Linked DNA regions of Arabidopsis thaliana. The protein of the gene in region 2 interacts with the protein of the main gene of each other region in a pairwise test. Each region holds a gene or a part of one and is shown on either strand. Other genes may lie near its edges.

What was found.
Region 1: the proteins of OFP1 (region 2) and KNAT7 interact in a two-hybrid assay, tested with the Arabidopsis thaliana proteins (2 studies listed by BioGRID, with this or other methods).

The regions. Positions count from the first base shown.
Region 1 is NC_003070.9:23,331,678-23,344,682, reverse strand, and holds KNAT7 (homeobox knotted-like protein), read right to left. Parts: upstream 7,517-13,005; 5' UTR 7,216-7,516; coding exon 6,934-7,215; intron 6,036-6,933; coding exon 5,915-6,035; intron 5,361-5,914; coding exon 5,161-5,360; intron 5,067-5,160; coding exon 4,935-5,066; intron 4,476-4,934; coding exon 4,335-4,475; 3' UTR 3,991-4,334; downstream 1-3,990. Other genes in the region: NRS/ER (nucleotide-rhamnose synthase/epimerase-reductase), read right to left, coding at 824-1,279, 1,724-2,173; AT1G62981 (transmembrane protein, putative (DUF1191)), read right to left, coding at 9,859-10,890; EXPA18 (expansin A18), read right to left, coding at 11,749-12,061, 12,243-12,558, 12,811-12,955. UniProt on the Arabidopsis thaliana protein: May be involved in secondary cell wall biosynthesis.
Region 2 is NC_003076.8:317,963-328,490, reverse strand, and holds OFP1 (ovate family protein 1), read right to left. Parts: upstream 4,064-10,528; 5' UTR 3,940-4,063; coding exon 3,127-3,939; 3' UTR 2,813-3,126; downstream 1-2,812. Other genes in the region: SAUR21 (ARM repeat superfamily protein), read right to left, coding at 5,484-7,508.

The DNA.
Region 1 (13,005 bases), on a different chromosome or scaffold from region 2:
ACGGATTTAGGCCACTTTTAAGCAAAATCCACAACTGAGCCCAATAGACGCGCGTGGGTCGAGTTTTTTCTTTTTTCTTTTGTCTCATATTTTGAGACTGAGAATGTTTAAAAGAAGTTTTTGAATAGATTATGTCAAATTGTGATTTTAAGTATTAAAAAATGACATGGTGTAGTCACATTCATGCATGATCATATCAAACACATACTCTGTTATTCGGCTTTGAAAGGTGAATTTCATCACTCTTACAATAACGATGCAAAGTGTGTTGCAAAATCCAAAGAAAAGTAGTATTTCAAGGAGATTCCAACTAAATCAATTGATCTTAATAATGGAATGATCGTCAATTTTGGTGTTTCAAACTGGATCCGGGACCAATGGAAACTGAAGTTTGAGGAAGTGAGTAGTGACATTCATCTGTTTACCAAAAACGCTAGCTGAACAATGCAGCATATGCTGGAAACTCTGGCAATGTTTCATTTGTTTATCATATTTACGTTCCGATCCAGATTTCAAATGTAATATTTTAGGCCAAGGCTAAGATCTTTCTGATCCTCTGGATGAAAGATAGTTTGATTAACAAGAGTAAATAATGCAAAATAGTACATTTCTTATTTGTAATGAAACAAAAGTTTATTTTAACAATACAACAACATTGGGAAAAAGAAAAACAAAAAAATAAAATACAAAAAACACAACAATTTTTTCAGCCCATAAACCCAAAAAAAAAAAAGATACTTCTTTTAAAAACCCAAACTTTTTTTGTCTTTCATTTGATTTGTTTTTTTGGGGTTAAGAACCGTTTACCTTACAAAACCACATTTCAAGCTTTAACTTCAGTCTTCTTGTTGGGCTCAAACACGAACTTGATCAGAGACTCTTTGATAGACATCAACTCAGGGAACTCAGTCTTCAACTTAGTTGCATCAAGCTCATTGTTACTCCTTGGCGCCACAATCACTTTAGCTTGTTCCTCCAATGTGAAGTTCTTCCAAGTAAAACTCGGGTCAATGTAGTCTCTGTACATCTCCAAGATCTCGTTGTGGCTCACAACACCCGGGTTAGTGAAATTGTAGATCCCGGTTAAGTTCCTCTTCGCCATTTCGATTGATATCGGGAGAAGCTCATCGAGGATTGTCATCGAGTTTGGGATGTCCACAACTTTCTCATACCGAGCAATCTTCGTGATGAAGTTTCTCGGGTTTGTTAGATCCGATGAAATCGGCATTCGCACTCTTAGCGTGCATACATTTTCATAGTTCTTGAGCAGCTCCTCCACCTGAATGATTCACCAAGATCAAAACCAGATTCCAACAGTCAATACACGAGCTTATCATGATAATGATTATATGAATCAATAAGTTCTGGTCAAAGTATTTCATCTGGAACATTTTTATTGCTAATTTAACATCTAAGACCTAAGCAATCACAAGTATTGAAACCAAATTAGCAACAGGTCAAATCTGAATAATGTCCTAAGTAACTAAAGGGGTCAAAATGTAAATTAACGAAGCTCTCACAAGTCTAATCTACAATCATCTGAAACAATTTGAGAGCTAATCTTACATTCAAAAGTCAAAACCTCAACAATTCACACAAATCAGAACTTAATTTACTAAAAAATCTTAGATTTTGGGGTTTACTCAAAGAAGAAACTAAAGATACAGATCAAATCTGAAGTTATTCATAAATAAAAGGATTGAAAATGTAAAAAGTTACTCACCATAGCTTTGGTTTTAGAGTAGAAAGATCCGGTGAAATTAGGAGTATCCTCCTCCTTGAATCCAATACCCGACCCGAGAGGATGACCCGAATCATACTCAAATATACAACCCGTAGCGTAATTGATCAGAACAAGTCCTTTCTCTCTGCAAATGTCAGCGAGAGTTAGGGTTCCGGCGACATTAGTACGAATCGTCTCAACTTTGTGAGATTCGCACCAATCAACATTAGGACGACCGGTGACTCCAGCAGCGTTGAACACGTGGCTAGGTTTCACGGATTCGATGTCGGCGACGATCGATTGACGATCTTGAAGACGACCGGAGCCGTAAGTGTAAGTGATTCCTTGAGCTTCGCAGAGTTTACCGAGTAAACCACCGATCCATCCGGTTTTACCGTAGATTAGGAAGTTAAATGAGCTTGATGATGAACCGTTTGCGTCTGCAACCATTTTTTTTTTTTGTCGGTGATCGGAAAGTTTTCGCCGGAGAGATATAAGAGAGAGTGTGTGGATCTGAAGGAGATGGTATAGGGAGACGTTGTGATCGGTGTTGCTTCTTTTTATCCCAATTTCTCGGGGAAGCAATAATCTTTTTAGTTTTTTTCTTTTGACCACCCATCGTTTCTTATTTGAGATTTGTGACCCATGAGTTTTTTTTCATGAATATTTTAGGAAATTGTTAAATTTAGGTGACATTACCAAAAATTAAGCAAAACATGTGTAGATAATTGGAGTAGTGATAAATTTTTGTTATTGAATTTAAGAAAATGTTTTCATTAGTACTTATACAACTAGTTAACTTAAATTTAACATAAAATAAACAAGTTATCCCGTTTTTAAAATTATATGATAAAAATAGTTCTATGGATAAAAAAAAATGCTATTAATATTTTTATAAGAAAACTTGTTATTATGTATAAATTTGTTGTTACTTTATACACTTTTAATAGCATAATGTAGAACTTTTATTCAGTAAATATAAGAAGACTTTATAAATTTTATTTCGTGGAAATGTCATTGAAAAAAATGTGTTAGTAGGAATAACAAAAAATTATTTCAATATATGAATATAATATGTGACAGATCACCCTAAACATGAATTATTGTGTTTCGTAGTGGTTTTGTGTGTTTAAAATAGTTTATTGTTGTCTGAATTTTAGACAGAGATCTGTGAAAGCGGTGGCGTGAGAAATTATTAGTTAAACACAAAGGAGATTCCACTTCATTGGGTGTCTGAATTTAAAATATGTATTATTCGTTGCAATTTTAATTAAAGAATCTCTTTTTTTTCTTTTTACCACCCTTTTTCTGGTCAACTACTACTCATACTATTTTTTAATAGTGAAAATTAAAAAGTTCGAAGAAAAAGAAAAAAACACTTAAAACACGTTACTGTTTTGAATTTACAATTCACAATTATCGACTATAAATGCGTATATTATATTAAGCATCCGAATCTTATGAGATCAAAGAGCTAACTTAGCAAAAGAACCCGTTAACGAATCGGTAACCCTTTAAACATAGTATCATTTCAATAAATATACAGATACATCTCAATTACAAATTAATGTAGTGATTTATATCATATTCATATGTACATAATTCCACCGATTTTTGGTACTAAATATTGTAATTGCAAAGTTTCTATATATATTGTAATTGATTTGACATCGAAACTAATGAGGTTTAAACCAAAGATCTGGATCTATACAACATTTGATATATTAAGCATATAAAACTCCAAATGTACAAATCCCCCTGCCCTTAAATACCATACACGTTATCGAAAATATATACGTATGTCACTAACATTCATTTATTAAGCAGTCAGTCCAACTTCTTTTGTCAAATTAATTAGTAGTTTAATGTTATAGTAATCGGGGGTTACCATAAGGCATAAAGTAATGTCTTTACTTTTATATATATATATATAAACAGATCGGATCTTCTGTCTGAATCGTAGTGGACAAATGATGGCGGCATGTGGTGACTTTTCTAAGATAGTAAGATCCCAAGTTCTCAATCTCAAGAGCTATTTTTTCTTTTTTAATGAATACATCATATATCTATTTCTCGGTCTAGTTGTGTTTGTAAACTCGTTTGAAAATATTAAGTTACACAAATCTTGGTATCAAATAAAGAACTAGAAAACTATACGTTAATTAGTTTTTGAGAATACCAATAATCTAAACTGGAATTAAACTAATCCATTTTTATGGACGATTTCTTTCATTGATCGGTCCAAAGATATTATGATATGGCTTATATTTTATAAAACACTGCCTTTTTTGTCGGCATCATTACTTTATATTTCCAAATGATGGTCTAGTCATCCACGGAAAACACGTTACAAAATCAGTGTTCTTACCAAAAAGATAAATTTGAATGCACAATACAAACAAAATGAATTACAATCTAGTAACAACCAGTAATCACGCAACGCACAAATCATATAGTAGTCGGTGGATCTAATAAGCTAAGTAAGTACATGATATTAATGATCACACCTCGTTATTATCAGTAACATGAATTACGTATGTATCATGCATGTCTTAGCAGTGTAATTAGTATGAATATATGTAGAGGTAGTAACTAATATAGTAAGAAGAGATTAGTGTTTGCGCTTGGACTTCAAGGAAGTGAGGGAGTGAGAGTTGTTGTGCCAATTCCTCTTGCGTTGGTTAATGAACCAATTGTTGATTTGCTTCAACTGCAATCCTGTCTCCTCCACCAATTTTGCCTTGTCATCTTCCTGTTCAAGACACATATTTTTTTACATTATAAATTTGTTGTTGTTAATGACATTTTAGGAAAGAAAACAAAAACAATCAGTTTCAGTTTCAACGAAGAGAGGCCAATGCATGTGCAGATCTGATAGCGTCAAAGGCTATTTCTTTTCCACTATAGCATGCAACTTTAGACTGTAGTCCACCTTTTTGGCTTGTGCCAAATATTGAACGGGAGAGAGATGTATAGTGTTTTTGAGTATTAGTAACAAATTCAGTATGTTTGAAGAATAGAAAAAAAATGCATGTTGTGACTTTGAGTGTAACCAAAATGGGTCTTGATTGTTTCTTTGCATTTACATATCTATCTTCATTTGTTGTTTCATGTTATAATGATTATCATATTATTTCATGAAAACGTAAACCCAAACAAACAATTAGACGGAAACTATATTTGTTGTTCGTAAAATATAGAGAGTACTCACCGTAGGGTAAGGCCATTTGCAATGTTGTTGCCACCAATTTTTCAAGACAGTAGTTGTGTCTCCTGGCAATTTCCCAGCCCTTCTCTTCCTCATTATCTCTTCTCTTACATCTTCGATTCTCGATTTAAAACCCTTATCCGAAAAATAAACAAACGTCATAACAAGAAAATAAATAGTAAAATAACTGTATTACTATTGTGAATCATAACATATTAGTTAATTATACCTGTTTGAGTTCTAGTTTGAGTTCTTGTCTGACTCTTTCCATAAGGGATCTTTCCGATTCAGTCGGTAGCAACGGACCAAATCCCGTCATATCGTGGCCGCCGCTAAAATCAACGCCGGAATTATCTGACGAGAAATCCATCGGAAGATCATCCTCATCCTCCGACATAGTCGCACCCGACCCTTCTCCTAAAGTTGCTCCTACAAGAATACAGAACGTTTTAAACGAAATGTTACTCCAACAGTCAAACTACAAGATTTAGACGTCAAGCCCAAGCCCAAACTTAGGCTCAAGCCTGATATGCCCTTACGCATACAATAATCCTAATCAATACATCCCACGCTTTACGTGGTCATCAGTGCAAAAATAAATATTTTTAATAATTTCGTATAATTAAGAAATTTCATCTTTAGACTAATCATATAATATAACTATATAAGCACAAATAAAATCTCTATTTCTTATTGTGTGGGCATATAATATACTCTTCCTGATCATCTTCCAACACCTTACATTTAATATGTTTACTAGTTGTTCATATCTGGTATGATCAGCAAGAACCTTTAGATATACCTAACTCTATTATTTGTTTTAACTATCGCTAATTTTTAACAGGAATTTTAATTATATATATCTTAAGTACTTTCTGATTCTATAGCTATGTGGTATATATAATAACATGTAATTATCATGAAGTTATGTTTTTTAATTGGGTTATAAAAAATACCATTAAAAAAGTGGAAAAGAAAAGAACCTGTAAGAGAATGAAGGTTGTTCTCAATTTCACGGCAAGCCATAACAGCTTCGACGGCATGAACCCTCACGTGCTGTTGCAGCTGTTCTTTGAAGCTACACAACACCATTACATATTGTGCCTGTTTCCAATTAATTATAATTGTTAAATGTTTTATATATCCTCTCACATTTCATATAATTATTCAATGTGTAAACATTTTCCACATATATGCATACACACATATAAATATGTGCTTCTGGTGTGGTGTGTTTTGAGCGGTTAGATCATTATATAGTCCTATTTTCTACCTAACTTAAATAAATATAAATAAAACCGAATTTTTTTGGAACATTTCACAAGCTAATTCCAAAATTATAGTTGCAATATCAATTCCAACTTTAATGCAATTGCAAATTTTAGGTCGGAGTAGAAAATCAATCGTAACTAACATGATAATATTCAAAGTTTAAATAGAATTTCAATTTAATTACAAAATGACATTTAACATTGACTCACTCTATGTGAAATTTAGCACCTAACTATACAAAAAACCATATCTACATCTATGTGTGTGTATTATACATTTGAACATTCGTGTGAAGATACATAAATTTCCATGAAAGTTGAACAAAACCACTTCTTCACAAAAATCAGGTAAAAAAATACCAATAACTTAAATCATTGGAAAAAAACATAATTTGTTTGAAGTATAACTTCCCACAAGAGGAATTAGTAATTATAAAATTTATAGAAATTGTTGATATATTGACAAAAGGTTTACATCTTCGATCGATAAAACTCCCAACGATCTTGTAAAAAGTAAAACACGAAAATCATTGAAAAAAACATAATTTGTTTGAAACATAATTTCCCAACAGAGATTGGTTAGTAATCATAACTTCATTCAAAGTTAGTCCACTAGAAACCATCAAAAAAAAACTTTCAAATGAAAAAAGATAGAAACAGAACTTGTAAGTAATTTAACCAAACAAGATTATTTTTTAAAATATAACTAATAAATTTATATTCAAACGTACCAAGAAATTATCGAGCTCGTGACGATCATGATGGTATCCAACGGCCGTGGAAGCGTAAGAACGGAGAAGATGATGAGATTGAGAAAGCTGAGCTTCAATGATCGGAAGTTGATCTATTGGAGTAGCTACTCTTAAACACGCCACGTGTGCGGCTAATAATTGCTCATACATCGGATGTGTCGCTATCTCACCTTTCAACTGTCTATTCTGCTCCGCCACGACCGCGGTGTCTCCGTCTCCGCCTACGGTGGCTCCCATCATACCTAGTGCCGCTTCTTGCATAACCTTGACACAAGACCGGAGAGAGATACTTTTTGTGTCTGATCAAAACCCTAATTCTTGAAGCAGATTGTGTTCGTATGATTAGAAAAAGAGAGAGAGAGAGAATTGTCAGATGAAATCAACCTATATAAAGCTGTCCTGATTTCTTTCCCCTTTAATTGTTTTTCACTCCATTCTTTTCTAAAAATATACATTATTTGTTTATAGATTATTTTGTCTTATTTGTATACAAAATACATTTAAAACAATGTTTGTTATACACGGGTCTGGTCCGGCCATACCATATATTATTTTTACATAGATCAAATTATATTGAAAGTATTATTTTTGTATTGTTAATCGAAAGACTGAAAACTAGAATTACTAATTTTCATCAGATATGTGAATACAAACACACGGACGTTGATTGTTTTATACGGTGATTGTTATCTTTACAATTAATCTGAATTACTTTAGTCTAGAAAACTGCTACTATATATATGTTTGATTCCACAATATGCTGATATATACCTTGACGTAAAGTTATGAAAAAAGTGCACGTTAACAACGTGCTTTACAAAAATCATAAATACGTGTATATGTATGTATATAAAATGTAAACTTAAAATAAAAATTAAAAACACTTTTATTTTCCTTCTCGTGACAATGATTTAAGACCTAATAAGTGATCAACAACTTGAACTTAAAAATTAGTTGAAATTTTGAAAAAGAATGAGGAAAATAAAATATCTTCCCACCTTTAACGACAGGACCGGTAGACACACCTAATCCTCTAACGCCCACTTAACAAATAGTATTAACACCTAATTGATAATACTATTTAATAGTATAGAAATATAGTATATTTGTTTTCTTCTTTTGGTAAAGAACAAATATAATTAGTTATTCTTTTAAAATATTAAATACTCAATTACGTGATACAGTTAAATTTTTTTGGACAAAATGTGATACAGCTTTGATGCACCATTTCTTAGTCATATAACCTTAAAACAGTAACACTCTGATAATTTAATTGCAGTATTATTTGATAGATAGAAAAATGCTTTCATATTTTTCCTAGTTTGATATGAAGTTAATATAGCACACAAACAATAGTTTGATATATGAACTTTAATATATACTAATAGTTTTTAGCTAGAATTTCAGAAATATCCATAAAACTGAAAAAAAAAAAATTGATGTGTTGTGAAACGTTGTTAAGTCCGGATACTCTTGTGGCATGGTTTTTTGTAACGTCATGTAATAGTTCCGTTCAGAATTACAAATCTTCTGAACATACATGTTGGACGTTAAAAAAATTATTTTTCCACTTCATCGTTTAAAAAAATATATTCTTAAATCTTCTGGTTTTCCTCCGGCTTGGCATATTGGAGCCAATAGCCATCCAAGTAGTCTTAAGTTTTTGCAAAAAAAAAACTGCAATTAATTACAAAAACTAAAATAATATTTCATCATAACAATGGAATCCTTGGTCGTTGTAATTGCATATGTTGCATGTAGTTTATATCGTAATAGGATTAGATCAAATATTTTTAATAATGCCAATAATACATGACACAAAAAAAACTAAAATAATAGCACATAATATATTCTATAAACAAAAATAAAAAATACAAATTAAAAGAGGATTTTGCATATTATTAAATGAAAAAGAGAATAATGCACGCCTTCACCAATATGGAAAAACTACTTTCCATTTCTCCCTTTTTATGTAGTTATGTACAAATTCCCTTTTGTTTTACGCAATGACATCAAAAATATTCGTTCGTATAGAAAAATGAAAGAAACAAAATAAAGAGGGACAAAGACAGAGTTGGTCGAACAAAGAAAAGAGGGACAGAATTGTCGTTCTCTTAAGCCTAAGATTTAAGACATCTCACATCTGAAACAATTTGTGGTCCTATGAAAACGACTTCTCAACTTATAATAATGCTTTTGACACAAAAAAAAACTTATAATAATGCGGCCATTAATCAGAGAACAATGAGATACTATTAGTGACACGATACTAAGTTTTAGTGATTTAATGTACGGGCCATATAATATTGTGAGTTTGGTGGACCTAAAAATAATTCTCATTGGGCACTTCATTAAGGTCTCAAAGCCTAAACACTTGTACACATGGGTTCGTAATTGTTTCCGTGTGTGATATTACTAGCATAAAACGTTTCCTAGCTATGTGACTCCTCAAAAAAAAAAAAAAACTACCATTTGATTAGAGGTAGATTTTCATCAAACATATTGTATTCTTATGAAGACGCCAGACGGCATATTTCATCAAATTATAATTCTTGATGCCTCGTTAATTAACGTGTAGGCAACGATCATGTTGTTTTTTTTGGTGTAAAAAATGACCATGTTTTATTGTTTATCAATGACTTTGAATGTAACTTTGCTCATTTGATTTTCTTTAATAGTTACTACTTACTACTAGGCCACTAGCGGTGTTACCTTGTAAATTCATCACCGTGAAAGAAAGAAAAAATCATCACCATACGTACCTTACTTGTCACCAACGAAATATATATATATGTCCCAAAACCCCCAACAACATGCATTTTAACATAAATTAAAACCGTTTTTACAAAAGAAAAAAAAAAGAAAACAATCCACAAAAACGGAATCACACGTAAATATAATTAATTAATTAGGAACAAACTCATATTCCATGAAACCTGGAGAAGTCCTTGTAGCAGAAGCAACGAAAGCCCTAGAATGCCCCACCATTGACACTACTCTAAAAGCTTCTTCTTCATAAGCTTTTCTCTCCATTTCTTCCCTTTTTGCCCTTCTTCTCCTTTTCTTTGCCGTCACTACAGCAGCCGCCACCACCAGCCCTAAAAGCACCACCCCCACCGTCACAGACCCAACAAGCCCTCCAACAACCTTCCTCCACCGTCCGATCTTCTCCTTCTTCATCTCCTTTTCTCCTCCACCATTCGATTTTGGATCATCCGTCACCACTAAACCAAAATGTCCATTGGTTTTAACGGCGCACACAAACGGCTTCACTTCGGCGGCAAGCGTTACTTTTCCATCAAGTTCAAAAGTAGCGCACATTGGCTTATTCAAGAACGTTCTCTCTACCACCGACGGTCCAGAAACGTTCCCAAAATCAACGTTGGATGGATCTTTAGTACGGGCTAGGAGGAGACTTATCTGATAAGAGCTACTCACGTTATTCCCTAAAACAACATCGTTTAATGCGTTATAAGCTAAGAGCCCTAGAACCGGAGACACAAGTCTATAACCGGAGAGATCATAGTTTTTGTAATATATATCGGACCACTTTGATCCCAAGCTTTGTCTCACAACCAAAAGACGTTCACCACACGGCTCAAGAATAGCTCCAACGCCAATATTGAATTCTTCGATTTTTGCTCCGTATCGTCGGAGACTCCCACACCGGAACCTAACGGCGTCAAGTTTTATGCCGGAGTAGTCAGACGGGAGATGAACACGCCGAATAACACCGGTCTTGATAGAATAATGTTGGTTCTTGAAGAAGTTGAGAGTGTAATCTCTTAGAATGAGATCAAGAAGCCTTGAGGATTCATTGAGAGCTTCTTGAGTAGTAGTAGTAGAAGTCGAACCCTCTAGATGAGAGGGAAGGAAGAGGAATAATACGATTATTATTAGTTGAATAGAGGGAGGATAGAGTGTTAGTGTTACCATTTTCGATATTGGTGGAGTAATTGTTCACGTTTGAATGTTGAGGTGATGAGAAGATGCGATGAAGAAGTGTAGAGGAAGAGTCGATCATGAGAAATGAGTTTCTCTTTTCTTTTTAGAGCTTGGTGAAGGCTTTGGATTGAAGGGACAGGTTTGCTTTTATTTGATAGATATATTTATGTATATATGTATATAGTTTTTATGCTACTCCATATGATTTCTTGGGGTATGAAACTGTAGGCGGCGTGAGATTGTTTTGAGTAAAGTGTACGTTTTATAGAATATATAATTTTCTATTTTTTAAATAACTGACGTTTCAATGTTTGTGTATAACGTTCTTTTACAAATTTTTCATTTTTACTCTAGTCAAATTTAATTTTAAGTATTAAATAGATCAGAATTATAAAACAGCAATTATTTTCTAAGAATGTACTATTATTGTATACAAACTCTCTTAATTCGCATCAAAATTTGTCAAACGATCTTTATATTAAACTGAAGTGAGTATCATACATTGGCGAATCATGATCATATCGTCTAATCGTTATGTCATATTTATTGATAACTCTTGAATTAGAAAAGTCATTTTCTGATAAGAAAAAAAGTACCAATGATCCCATCAATCATTTTGATGCTAATATATGAATGAGAAGATAATTCAAAAATTTTAAACACACATAAAAATCAACAAATTTTCCTCAACCCAATGATGGATATACAAGAATTAATGACTACCATATAACCAAAGGGAGTTATTCATTAGAAAAAAAGGATCAACCTCTCGATCGATCGGACTCAACAACAAATGGCAAAACCGTATATTCAAATAAACCGGTTTCTCGGAATTGAATATGACCTAAATTAGTTAAAATTAGCCTTGCTCTGGTAGGTCTTGCCCGCGCTCCAGCTTGCCGGAGCAGCATTATAAGCGTAAATGGTCTGACGAGTGGTGTAAGAGGTGAGCCGGAACGAGAGAGACTGACCGTAGAGAGAAGAAAAGGCTTGGTACGAAGCTCCCCAGTTATGGCTCATGTTGATCCACCCTGTGCGGCTACCTTTAACGGCCATGGTCTTGATGTCACCTGGACCACCTACGTTCATCACGTACACAAGTAGCCAATATCCATTTCCTTCAAATTTGAACCTTATTCCTCCGATCTTCTTACATGCCACTCTGCATATATATATCGACATAATCATATTTTAGCATTTGCAAATGGTGCATTCAAACAAGATATCATTCAAAATATTTGACTATAAATATATATAATTTCACTATGGTTAAGATAAACCATTTCTTTACGTTTTCAATCTACCTCTATAATTGTAATGCTCTAATGAAATGTGAATATTACCTGCGATATGAGACGGGGATGATACCAGCCTTCCAGTTAGCGATCTTCATAAAAGCTGGTTTAGTCAAATCAAAATGGACTCGTGGCGGATTACACCATCCACCATTGTTGGATGCTTGGCCATAATTTGGTGGACATATGTTGGTTGCAGTTACCACGGTGGCTGGTGACCCGTAGTAGCAGTTAGGCGACGACACACACTTTAACTGGAAACATTGACCGCATGCATAACCCTCGTTGAACAGGGCTGTGCTCAGCGCAGTCGTGGCTACCCCGTAGCCGCTGTCATACATGTTACCATAGCCACAAGCCCCACCTGATCGATATACATGGTCATGTTAAAAATTGTCAGTACATTTTAATGATCTTCGAAATTAAAGATTCATGTATTTATAAATAAGCCATAATTGTTTCATCTTGTTTGCATTTTTATGTTATGATATATGATTAGTACATTAAAACATAGAAATGCAAACAAACAATCGTTTCAAATAATATGGAATCGAGTCATATATAGTTTGTGTTCTACTTCTACATACAATACAATGTAGAAGTATATGGACTTTACCCATAGTTGCGCTGCCGGTGTCGTCACCGTAAAAAGTGGCTGAGGCTGTACGCCATGGGGTCCCGGCATATGTAGCCATTGATGTGCCGATCATTGCCATCATCGATAAAATAACCAGGCACTTGCGATACAAATTTTGATCCATTTTTACTCTGTTTTCTTGAGGGCGCCTACTCTTATTATCTCTCTGTAAAG
Region 2 (10,528 bases):
TACTAATAACTCAGCACGCCATGTACCATCATCAATAGCCAAAAAAAACCGCTCGACTAAATTCACTGAGAAACTGTGAACCTCGGTGACTTTCTTGCAAAACGAAAACCCAATGTAATAGTAGTTTTGTTTTTGGTGTGTCGTGTACTTGTTTTATTTGATTCAAAATGAAAATATGGACGGCGGAGAGACAAAGGTCACAAGACGCAGAATCTCCGGTGATAATGTCGGATCGCGCGCAAGGCAAGTTCAGTTAAATGGTCGTTGACCGAGTCTCCACTTGCGGCTCACCGACAATTCTTCGCCATTATTACATCTTCTTCGAAATCTCGATCAACTTCTTAAATTATTATAACACGTATAATTTCTACATAACTAGTCTATATATAACTCTTCTTCCAATTTATTTAATGCAGAGATGGTTCGTACGTAGCTTACATCCAAATAACCACGGTAACGTTGTCCAATTCAGTTTTGGGTTTGATTCTTTCACTTCATATCATAATATGTAATGTACATAATTTTTGTCACTCGGTTAGGTTTATACAGTTCCGTTTTAACAGTGTCATATACTCCTCAATCTTTTTTGCAACATTCGGCTTGGTTGCTATTTACTTTACAATTCTAATTGTTTTATATGTTAAAAATAAAACATAATAAATTCGTTGACATGTACTTCTCTATCTTGTGTAATTATGAAATGGCCCTACTTACAAAAACATTTCACGGAAAAAGAAAGTTGTGCCTTGTGGATTACTTACAACTTTATCTAAAAATGTGCTAGTGATAAGTAAGGAGAGACAAACGAATAAAAACAACTTTTATATATCATTCCAAATAGAAAACGCGTCTATGATACGTCGCAGTTCTAACAAGATACTCTTTCTTAATTTTTTACAAAGGGATCATAATTTATGTCCAAGTGAGAGTTTTCACATCATTTCGTTGTGGAATGGTTTTATTTTCGAAGTATACTATTTACCGGGAAACAAGTAAATTAATTGTATGTTGATATAGGTATAGTCAAGTCCAAATATCAATATTATATTATATTTAGAAATGCTGATTTTGAAAATTCATAGTGGTGGGGGTACCCGTACATCACACGGACACTGGCCACCACCAGTAAAGAAACACATTATTATACATTTATAATTTGTTTCTAATAGGTATCTCAGATCTTTGTAAATTGTTGTCTTTGTACCCGTACATCACAAGTCCATGTTTTAAGCAAGAAACTTAAATTAAAAATCTGGGAGTATAAACGTCTCATACTTATTATTGTGTACTCTTACTACCATGCGATGATATCAAACAATTTAATTTAAAGTATTGTTGTACTTATATTTTTATTTATATAAAAAAGTATTGTTGTAATTTTTCTTAACAATTTTACAAAAAATTCGTTGTAGTCCATGGCCGGCGTGCCCGACAAAGCTTTTGAACCTTTTTTTGTATGAGTGTGTATTATCGTATCGAAAAAAAGAGAGATAGATTTTGGGTACTTTTTACTTCACCTTTTTTGGTCCCTGTTTTGAACTTCAGTCAGTGTAATATTCACTTTTGTGCAACAGTACTTAACTCCGCACACGTATATGATTTATTATTATTATTATTCAATATATAGGTTGATGTTTTGTAATGTATTTCAATAGAAATCTTACCACATAATTCTAAATTTACTCATATCTACTAATTATTAGTCTAGTTTGAATGTGAACATTTATAATTGAATATAATCTTCATGATATACAGTTTTTTCTTTTTTTTCTATGAATGTTAATTTCATTGAAAATGAAATGTAAAGATATTACAACAATACCTAAGGATCTAAGAGTAATCTTGGCAAAAAAAATTATTGAGGAGTTTGATAATACAGTATATGTTTTTATTTATTTATTTTATAACGGTGAGAAATCAACGAGCAAGTTTCGTTTTGTAATCTGCTTCTTTCCTTGGAAACCCATAAAACCTAAAATATGCTTTGTCAGTTTAATGTCGCGTGAGATTCCTTTTCAGTTCCTATTTTTATATTTTAAGAATTCCACAATTTTCTTTTAAGATTGATGTTTAACTCTATTAAACCAAAATCTCATGGAAGATTTACATAAAACAAAATGACATCAATATCATGATAACGATACAACCATAAAACACAGAAGCAAAAGTTTGCCAGTAAGAACCATTCATCACTAATTTTATTTTATTTTACTATAATATCTACATATATTCATATAATTTTTTTTTTTCCGATATGTTACCTTTTCCTATATATTCTCGTCATTTGTCACCCATCACTGATATAAATAAATAAAAAACAGCCAATTGGATTTTTTGTTTTCTTTGGCACTTATATGCCTAAAAGTAAAAATGTTTTGTTTTCTTCTTGCTTGTCGCACTGTTTGTATGTGTTATGCACTGCATGCATATACATATAAATATTATACAAAACAATACGTCGTGGTCAATTTTTTTTTATTTTTTAAAAAGTTAACTACACATATAAATAAATAAATATAGATGTGTGTGAAATTGAGAAATGCACACGTACACACATATCCAAAGTTAGGTCTGAAAATAGGCGCAGATGCTGTTTTAATGAGTTGTCGGCATCGTAGGTCTAATATAATGGATACACTAAATATAAAACGTTCACTATTAGTCTTAGTCTATAACGTGATGCAGAGTAATTGTTGTCAACATGAACACTTGCTAACTCATGATCACAATGAATGAGTTTCCAATCATTTTTAAATCTCTTTTAAAAAATTTAGACTTGAAGAGTGAGCTGTATATATAGTATGATTGATGACGCAAAAGTAGGTTTATAGTCGTCCACATTCAAAATTTGATTTAAAGTAACACTTGCTTGTCCGTGCAAAGTAAGATTCGTAGAAGAGTACCAATCCGGATAGAAAATTCCTGTACTTGATATCATCAACGATGGCCGTTATGCAAGTACAAGACTGTAGGCTCTCTCTAGACCATTATTACATATAAATATAGTTAGTACAAGAATCATCATCATCAACATCATATATATTTACATTTTTATTCAGTAGAGCGATTAATTATTAAGGAGTAATTAATACTATATAAGAAGATGTTTTTTTCTTAATAATAAAATTATTTGGAATGGGGTGGTGGAAGATTAAGATCAAGCCAGATTTGCTTGAAGACATTGATGATAATAGCGTGATATTCGTCTGAATTGAGACAGAGATAGCAAGCCAAAAGCTCCTCTAGATCCTTTGTCGCTCTTATCTTGTTCTCAGCGATCATCTCCTCCATCGACTCCTTAAAGTCTCTCTTCGGATCCACCGACGCCTTCACCACCGCCCTGCTCCGCCGAGCCGACGACCCGCTTCTTCTTGCGCTGCTGCTCACCGAGATCCGCGGCGACCGCATTCTAAGTCTCACCCCCGCCGGAGAATTCACCGCCGTTTTCCGTGCGGTGGCGGCCGTTTTGGTAATGATGGGCCGGAGTTCGAGTTCCGGCGGCGGCGTAAAGGTTGCGGTTTTGGATAACTTGGAGCTGCAAGGGCTGTGCCAGGAGCCCGTTAATGACTCGTCGGGGAGGAGAACTTGATCCGAGCGAAAGTCCGGTGAGAAAGAACCTGTTTCTGTGGTAGTGCTGTCGCCGGAAGTCGTGGAAGACTTAGAGTCGACGGTGGCTCGGTGACGAAGACGGTTCCCGGAGGACTTCCTGGGAGGATGGGAGGGTGGCGCTTTGGAAGAGTGAGAAGGGCGCCTAGGAGGCCTAGGACTGAGTGGCGTTGTGGACGTAGGAGTAGGGACTGCGTGGTGTTTCTTCTTGGAGGTGGTGCTATTTGGTTGGCTCTGAAGATTCTTCTTCTTGGATTTGGACATGTCTCTAAGTTTGTAAAACCAAGCGTTAGGGATTAACTCCGATAGCTTAAACCGATAGTTATTACCCATTATCTCTCTGACTCTCTCTGTTGATTATTTTGTGTTTGTTGGGGACTTCTTTGGTACATGAACAAAAGTGAGAGTGTGAAGAGTGGAGAATTTATAAAGGAAAGAGAGGTTTATGTGAGGGGGCCCACATACGTGGAAAATATAAAGGTTATTATAAGGTGAGTGAGATGCTCTCTCCATTTTCATTGATTTTGTGTTAGATTATGTTGGCCATTTCATTTTCCCCTAAATTAAATTACATTGACATTTGACACTGACACTTTTATTATATGTTTTAGTAATAGTAATACACAAGTAGTGTTCGTACCAAAGAAATAAATAATAGAGTAATTACTAGTTTGTATATGTACTAATTACTAGTTTAATCGTGGTCATTGTAATCCTTTTAAAATGTGCACCACGATGATATTAAAAAGTTGTATCATCGATAGTGTAAAAAAAGAAAGTGGTCACTCACTTTATTGTGTTACAGTTTCCGTAAGTAGGTGTTTGGGTTTGACAACAAATAAAGAAGAGAGAAACCTGCTTTTTTCAAACATTATCGCACGCTTCGAGATCTGGGATCTCTTGCAAAACAAACCAAAATTTTAAAATGGGCCTATATGTTTTCGGCCCAATAGTTTCACTTAACGATAGCACCTCTTATATTTTCCTCTTCATCAATTTTAAACTCCAACTAAAGAATCTGTCAAATTGAAACCAAAAATAATAATATTACAGAGACACAAATTTGCCAACTTATTCATGGTCATTTTATACACGTTTAAACAAACAAACAAAAAATAACACGTTACATCTCTATGTATTTGTTCTCTGCCATGGTTAACTGATGGTTGTAAAAAGTTACAGAACAGCTTTTCCTTAAACATCAACTACTCTGCTTCGATGAAAAACTCCAACCTCACTCTTTGGTTTGAACATATTTCTTGTCTCTCACTCCGCTTCATAAATTCTCAACACCGTCACTCTTTTCCTCAAATGTGTTTTCTGGTTTTGTAATAGTTCTGTAATAAAATTAACCGTTTAAAAAAGAGGGAAAGGAAGAAGAAGATATTTTATTTAATGCTTCGAAAGATCCAAAACGTAAAAAAACAACAAACAAAAAGGTTTGCTTCTCTAGGAAGAAAGATTGTTGCTATTTGCAATCAGTTCCATTTCCAATCATCATCACTCCTTTAGGAACATGCTTGTGTGTATATCTCTTGTGGATTTGCTCTGTCTTTTGTGTTGAAATTTTGTGCCAATTCTTTTGTCTCTTTATTCACACACATATGATAACTCTAATATGCTTTCAAGATTTTTATTAGTTCCTGTCAAAACACTAGTTATGAGTTATGAGAGATTAGTAAACAACATCATAACACTGTGTAAAGTTCATCCAGTAAAAGGGAAAAAATCTCTCGTTCTTTTCTCGAATTTACATTTACAATTGCAGCTTTTAATACTTTGTAAAAGAATCAATTTCTTTTCAAATCATCAGGAAAGAAAAAAAAAACATTTAAACTTTACACAAGAAGAAGAGGGGAAAACAAAAAAATGAAAAATCATAAAACTGGACTAAAAATCCTACTTGGCGTTGGCACTACAATGCTCTGCGTTTCCGCCGCCGTGTTATGGGTATCTCCGGCGGCCCACCGTCTTAGATATCTCATCAATGACGCCGCTTTCCTCCCTCCCCTGGCCGTTCCAGCTCCTATCATCTCCCATATAACCCTCTCTATCCCTGGAATAGCCGCCATCTCCGCCACTAGCTCCGACCCTCCTTTCCGACACATCGTGACCAGCGTTGCCGCCGCACTCTCCCTTGTGGTATCCGCTCCTTCTCTCATCACCTCCCCCAAAAGTCGAATCAAACTGAAAGCGGCAGAAACCGCCATGAGTCCTCCCCTCCTGACCACCGCCTCCACGACAGCCACCGCTTCCTCCGGTAGCTCCTGGAATGCATCTCCTGCGGCTCCCATTACCCCAGCCTCAACGAACCTCCCCACGTTCTCTCTCTCAGCCACCAGGTTTAGGATCGCCACGAGCGCGTCTCTCTTAGAGCTGGTGGGGCCCTGCTTAGCCAAGTCAACCAATCCGCTTACGACACGTGCTTTTCTCCCGAGTCTTCTTCTGTATGCCGAGACGCCCGCCAAACTGAACAATGTCGCGGCTGCGTTAGCCTTAGCCTCCCACGTGGCACCCGAACGAAGAACCTCGATGACGCCGTTTAAAGCTCCGTCAGTTTCCATGATCCTCGTTTTGTTCTGTTCCAGGATGGATAGGTTTAGGATCGTCGTAACGGCGTTTATCTGAAGGCTCGGGCACTCTGTGGCTAGATAACGAACCAGCTTGGGTATGGCTCCAGCCTCGGCTATGCAGGCTCGGGCCACAGTATCTGACTTTGCGAGCGCCCGGAGCTCGAACACGACACCGTTAGAATCTGCCACGGAGAGCTTCTCGATGAGAAACGAAACCATCATCTTCGTAAACTCCACCGCCTCCTTGCACGGCGCAGGTTCTCCGCCGCCGTCACCGTATAATTCGAACGGTATCTTCTGATCGCGGCACCACAAAACGATGAGGTTCTTCAAGGCACGGTTAGGTACGAGGCTGGTGTGTTTGAGGACTTGACCTGTTTTCGGACACGTGTTATGCCCCGATTGGATCCAAAGATCGATGGACTCTCTATCGTATGTTTGACCGGTGGCAACCACCACCGGATCCCGCATCAGCTCGAGGGTGATCGGACACCGGAAATCCGCGGGGATGTTAGCGTCAGATAAGGATTGGTGGCGGCGGAAATCTGGAGCCGGCGTGGAGGGACCGTATAAGACGCACTTAGAGTAACGGACGAGTCCGATAAGAGAGGCGGCTGCGGATTTGGATCTGTCGTCGATCTGATCCTGAATCTCGTCTTCCAATCTCTGAATTTCGTCGGTCAAACTAGCAGAATCGGATAAACCAAGGTCGTTGAAAATCTTGATGAGAGTAGAGTGATCCGGTGAGATCTGGTGCTTGATCCCGGCGATTGTATCGGTGACTTTACGACGGAGAGCAACGTCGCGGGCGTCGACGAACTGAACAGAATCGGAGCATTGTTTTGTAAGGAGAGAGATGAGATCTTGGGCGTCGTCGCTGAGGTCAAAGTCATGGAGCGGTAAAATATCAAGAACGGTGGATAAATCGGTGACAAGCTCGTGAAAGTTGAAGGCAACGATGTCGATCTGCAAGAGTAGCCAGAGTTTGCTAACACGAGAACAGTCATCGATCAAAGACTTGATACGTTGCATAACGATTTGCATTTCTTCGAAGCAGAGATGAGCGGATTGAGAGTAGACGACAAGTTGGGAACGAGGGAGAAGAAGCTCATCGAAGACGGAAGCTAATATCTTCACTTTGCGAATGAGGGAGAGAGAATTGCGTCGGAGAATGAATGGGAGAGGCTGCATAGAAGAAATCTCATGAGACGCCAGAAACAGAGACCGAGTCAGTTTGGTATCTGAAGAAAGCTTCGGAGATTCGAATGACCCGACGACCAAAGGGCGACGTTTTCTCGCCGGAGAAGGAGAATCAAGAGTAACAGCCATTGATGAGGAAGAAAGACTTTTGTTTAGGAATGGAAAAGAGAAAAGGAAGAAGAAAGAAAGAAAGAGAGCTCTAAGCTCTTGTTGGTTGTAGTTGTTGGTTTGTTACACGGAGAGAGGAGCTGGCGTTTCAAATTTTCCTTTGGTTAAAGTTATTTAATTGGAAGAAAAAGTCGTAACGGAAGAAGAGACGACGGTGGACGGAGCCGTCAGAAGAAGTCAGTCAGTCGCAGAGAGGACAAAGCCGCCTTACAGAGGAGCACGAGAGGCGAGAGGTCAAACATTCCCTTCTCTTTTGACTTTTTCTCTTATGGTAATGTTTTTTTGGCCGAAATTAGACCAAACCCAATTTTTATTTCACAACTAACCCATAGGCCATAACTTAGCTTAGTTTTAATCTAAAACCAGTTTTATCTAATGACTGCTTTGGATTTTCTTCCATAACTACAGTTTTTTAGAATAACACACGCCTACACGCCTCGTGAGTTGTCGAGCAACACTGATTACAATATATAAGAAATGTAAGAATGAAGATAAGGTCTTCGTTTTGGTGACATAAGAATGCAACAGTTGGTACAAGTTTGTTAGAGAGAATTGATCTCGTCTTCTCTTTTTCAATATATTTAAATTATATATACTCACATAACTAATCATTCTAATTTTTTCATAATTTATAATTGAATCTGCTCTGCTGGCTCTCTCCACTTTCCGGTGAATTATTGAATACTAGTAGTATTTCTCAAATTATATAACAAAATGTTTCCATTACCAAAGTTACCTTTCCTTTTATTTTAAACGAGTAGTTTCCCTTTAAAGCAAATTATGAGATGTTTGCATTTTTAAAATTTTACACAAAAAAATTATTGTTTAAATTTTTTTTTTTCTTGTTGTTGTTGTCAACCAAAGAAAAGATCCACATAACAAATCAAGAATCATCACGCACTTCTCAGTGTCAATTTAATATAATGGCTATTGGGTATCTATTTAAATAGTTGAAAATTGAGAAACAATAGAATGTAGCTTATATGGATTGCAATGGCACCACTCATACGCAATGCCTTGATGTACAGACTTAAAAAATTGGATTAATTATTGTAATAATGTCTACAAAGTTCCAATATCTATATTGCTTTTTTATATCGATCAACTCACATCTTATACGTTTTTATTAAAACTATTGGACATGGGAACATTGAATTTCTTATTCTAAGTTTATGATTTTTGGTAGGGATGATGTTATTTTTGTTTTGGGTCTAAATCCAACACTAGGCTGAATAATTATTATAACACAAATAGTTTATTGAATTCTATCTCGGACCCAAAAAAATAAATAGCAAAGCATTTGGGCCAATAAAATAAAGGGAATACATTTGGGCTTTCTTATGAGATTAAATTGATTAATAGTTCCGTCGTGAGGGCTAATAATATACAAGAACAAAGAACTTTGGGCCATTTAATATGTATAGAAGCATTTATTGGGCTTTTCGAGGATATATAATTAGTGTTGTTGATACTGCAGCTAAATGTCTTGGAACTGTTCATACTTCATAGGCTGTGTAACGGAGCCAATTTGTGTCTAATCTTTTAAAAAATACTAATTTGTTGTTACTACCTTAAACGTGTTTGAAAAGCCTGTAGTGATCGGGTTTGATCAATGATTACATCATGGACTTCTACAGATTATTCACGTTGTTCCATTATTTATCTTTTCAACCCAGGGAAAGTTTGGGTTAATGGTTTATAATCTTTTTTTTTAGTGCAGAATCAACATTTGATAATAGTAGTGATGGATCAATGAACCTGAAATTGTAGGATTAAATCAATAATTTTAACAGTTGAAGGTTGAAACCATGTTTTTTTGTTTCTGCTGGAATTTCATAAATGTAGTATATAATTATCTTTGCGTTATTTTTTTTTGGTTGTTGTATATAATTAACTTCGACTATTTACTTTATTATCTATTGCAATTCATATATACTCACATCACCGTATGTGGGGACTTCATTACGTAAGATTATTCTAATTCACTAACACTTATTTTTTGGTCAACAGTAAGCAATCTCACGATCAATGAGTGCCTCCTTCAGCGTTGTCATCTGATTTGTATATTACGCGATGCCCATAAACTATATGATAAAAAAACATACATTTAGTTAGTTAAATATGCACATCACCGTTTAATTATTTGCGAGGAAGCAGACAAAATTATCCCGACTTATGCTGACTCACTCCACATACTCGACACAATTCTTTAAGTCCATATAAAAATTACTTCAACGTGTATATATGTATTGATTTTTATTTAATATATATGAAAATGGTTCATAATAAGAACCAGATATCGAAGAGATTTCACCATCAAGGTATCGTCAGACCAAACATATGATATAAGCATTATTTAGTTTTATACTAGTATTTCTTGCACTTGAACCTGGACACAAAATCAATTTACTTGGCACACGTTAAAAGATACAAATAAATGAATAATTAATAATTGTAACAATAAATGTTGAGAAATAAGTAAATAGCGAAAGCAAGGAATGGATCGGAGAATATGCAGAAACCTAACCATGCATGTTCCCTGTGTCCCCATGGGATACTTTAATTGATGCGGGCTCTCCTTTTTGGACCTTGGATGTGTGGTCCTTGATCAACTAATCTCCTACTATTAAAACAAATAAAGAAACCCATTTAGAGAAAATGTTGTCGGAACTCGGAAGAGATCGTTCTCACCATACCGAGTTACCATCAATAATCTTAAGATAAAGAATTGATTTTATGACTGAGGCGCAAAGAATTGAAAAATCTATGGCCGGAGTCCATTTCTTTCTTTATTCGTATATTTGCTATCCAAATTTAATAGGAGTAGGTGGTTAATATTTACGAATTGTAGAAAATTGACTTAGCCTAACCATAAAATTTAAACCGTCGATGTCATCAGAATTTAATTTGTTTTAATCTTTATTTAGGTTTCTGCTTACCTAATCAGCTGCGTATAACTTTGAAACAGTTTTCTCGCGTTA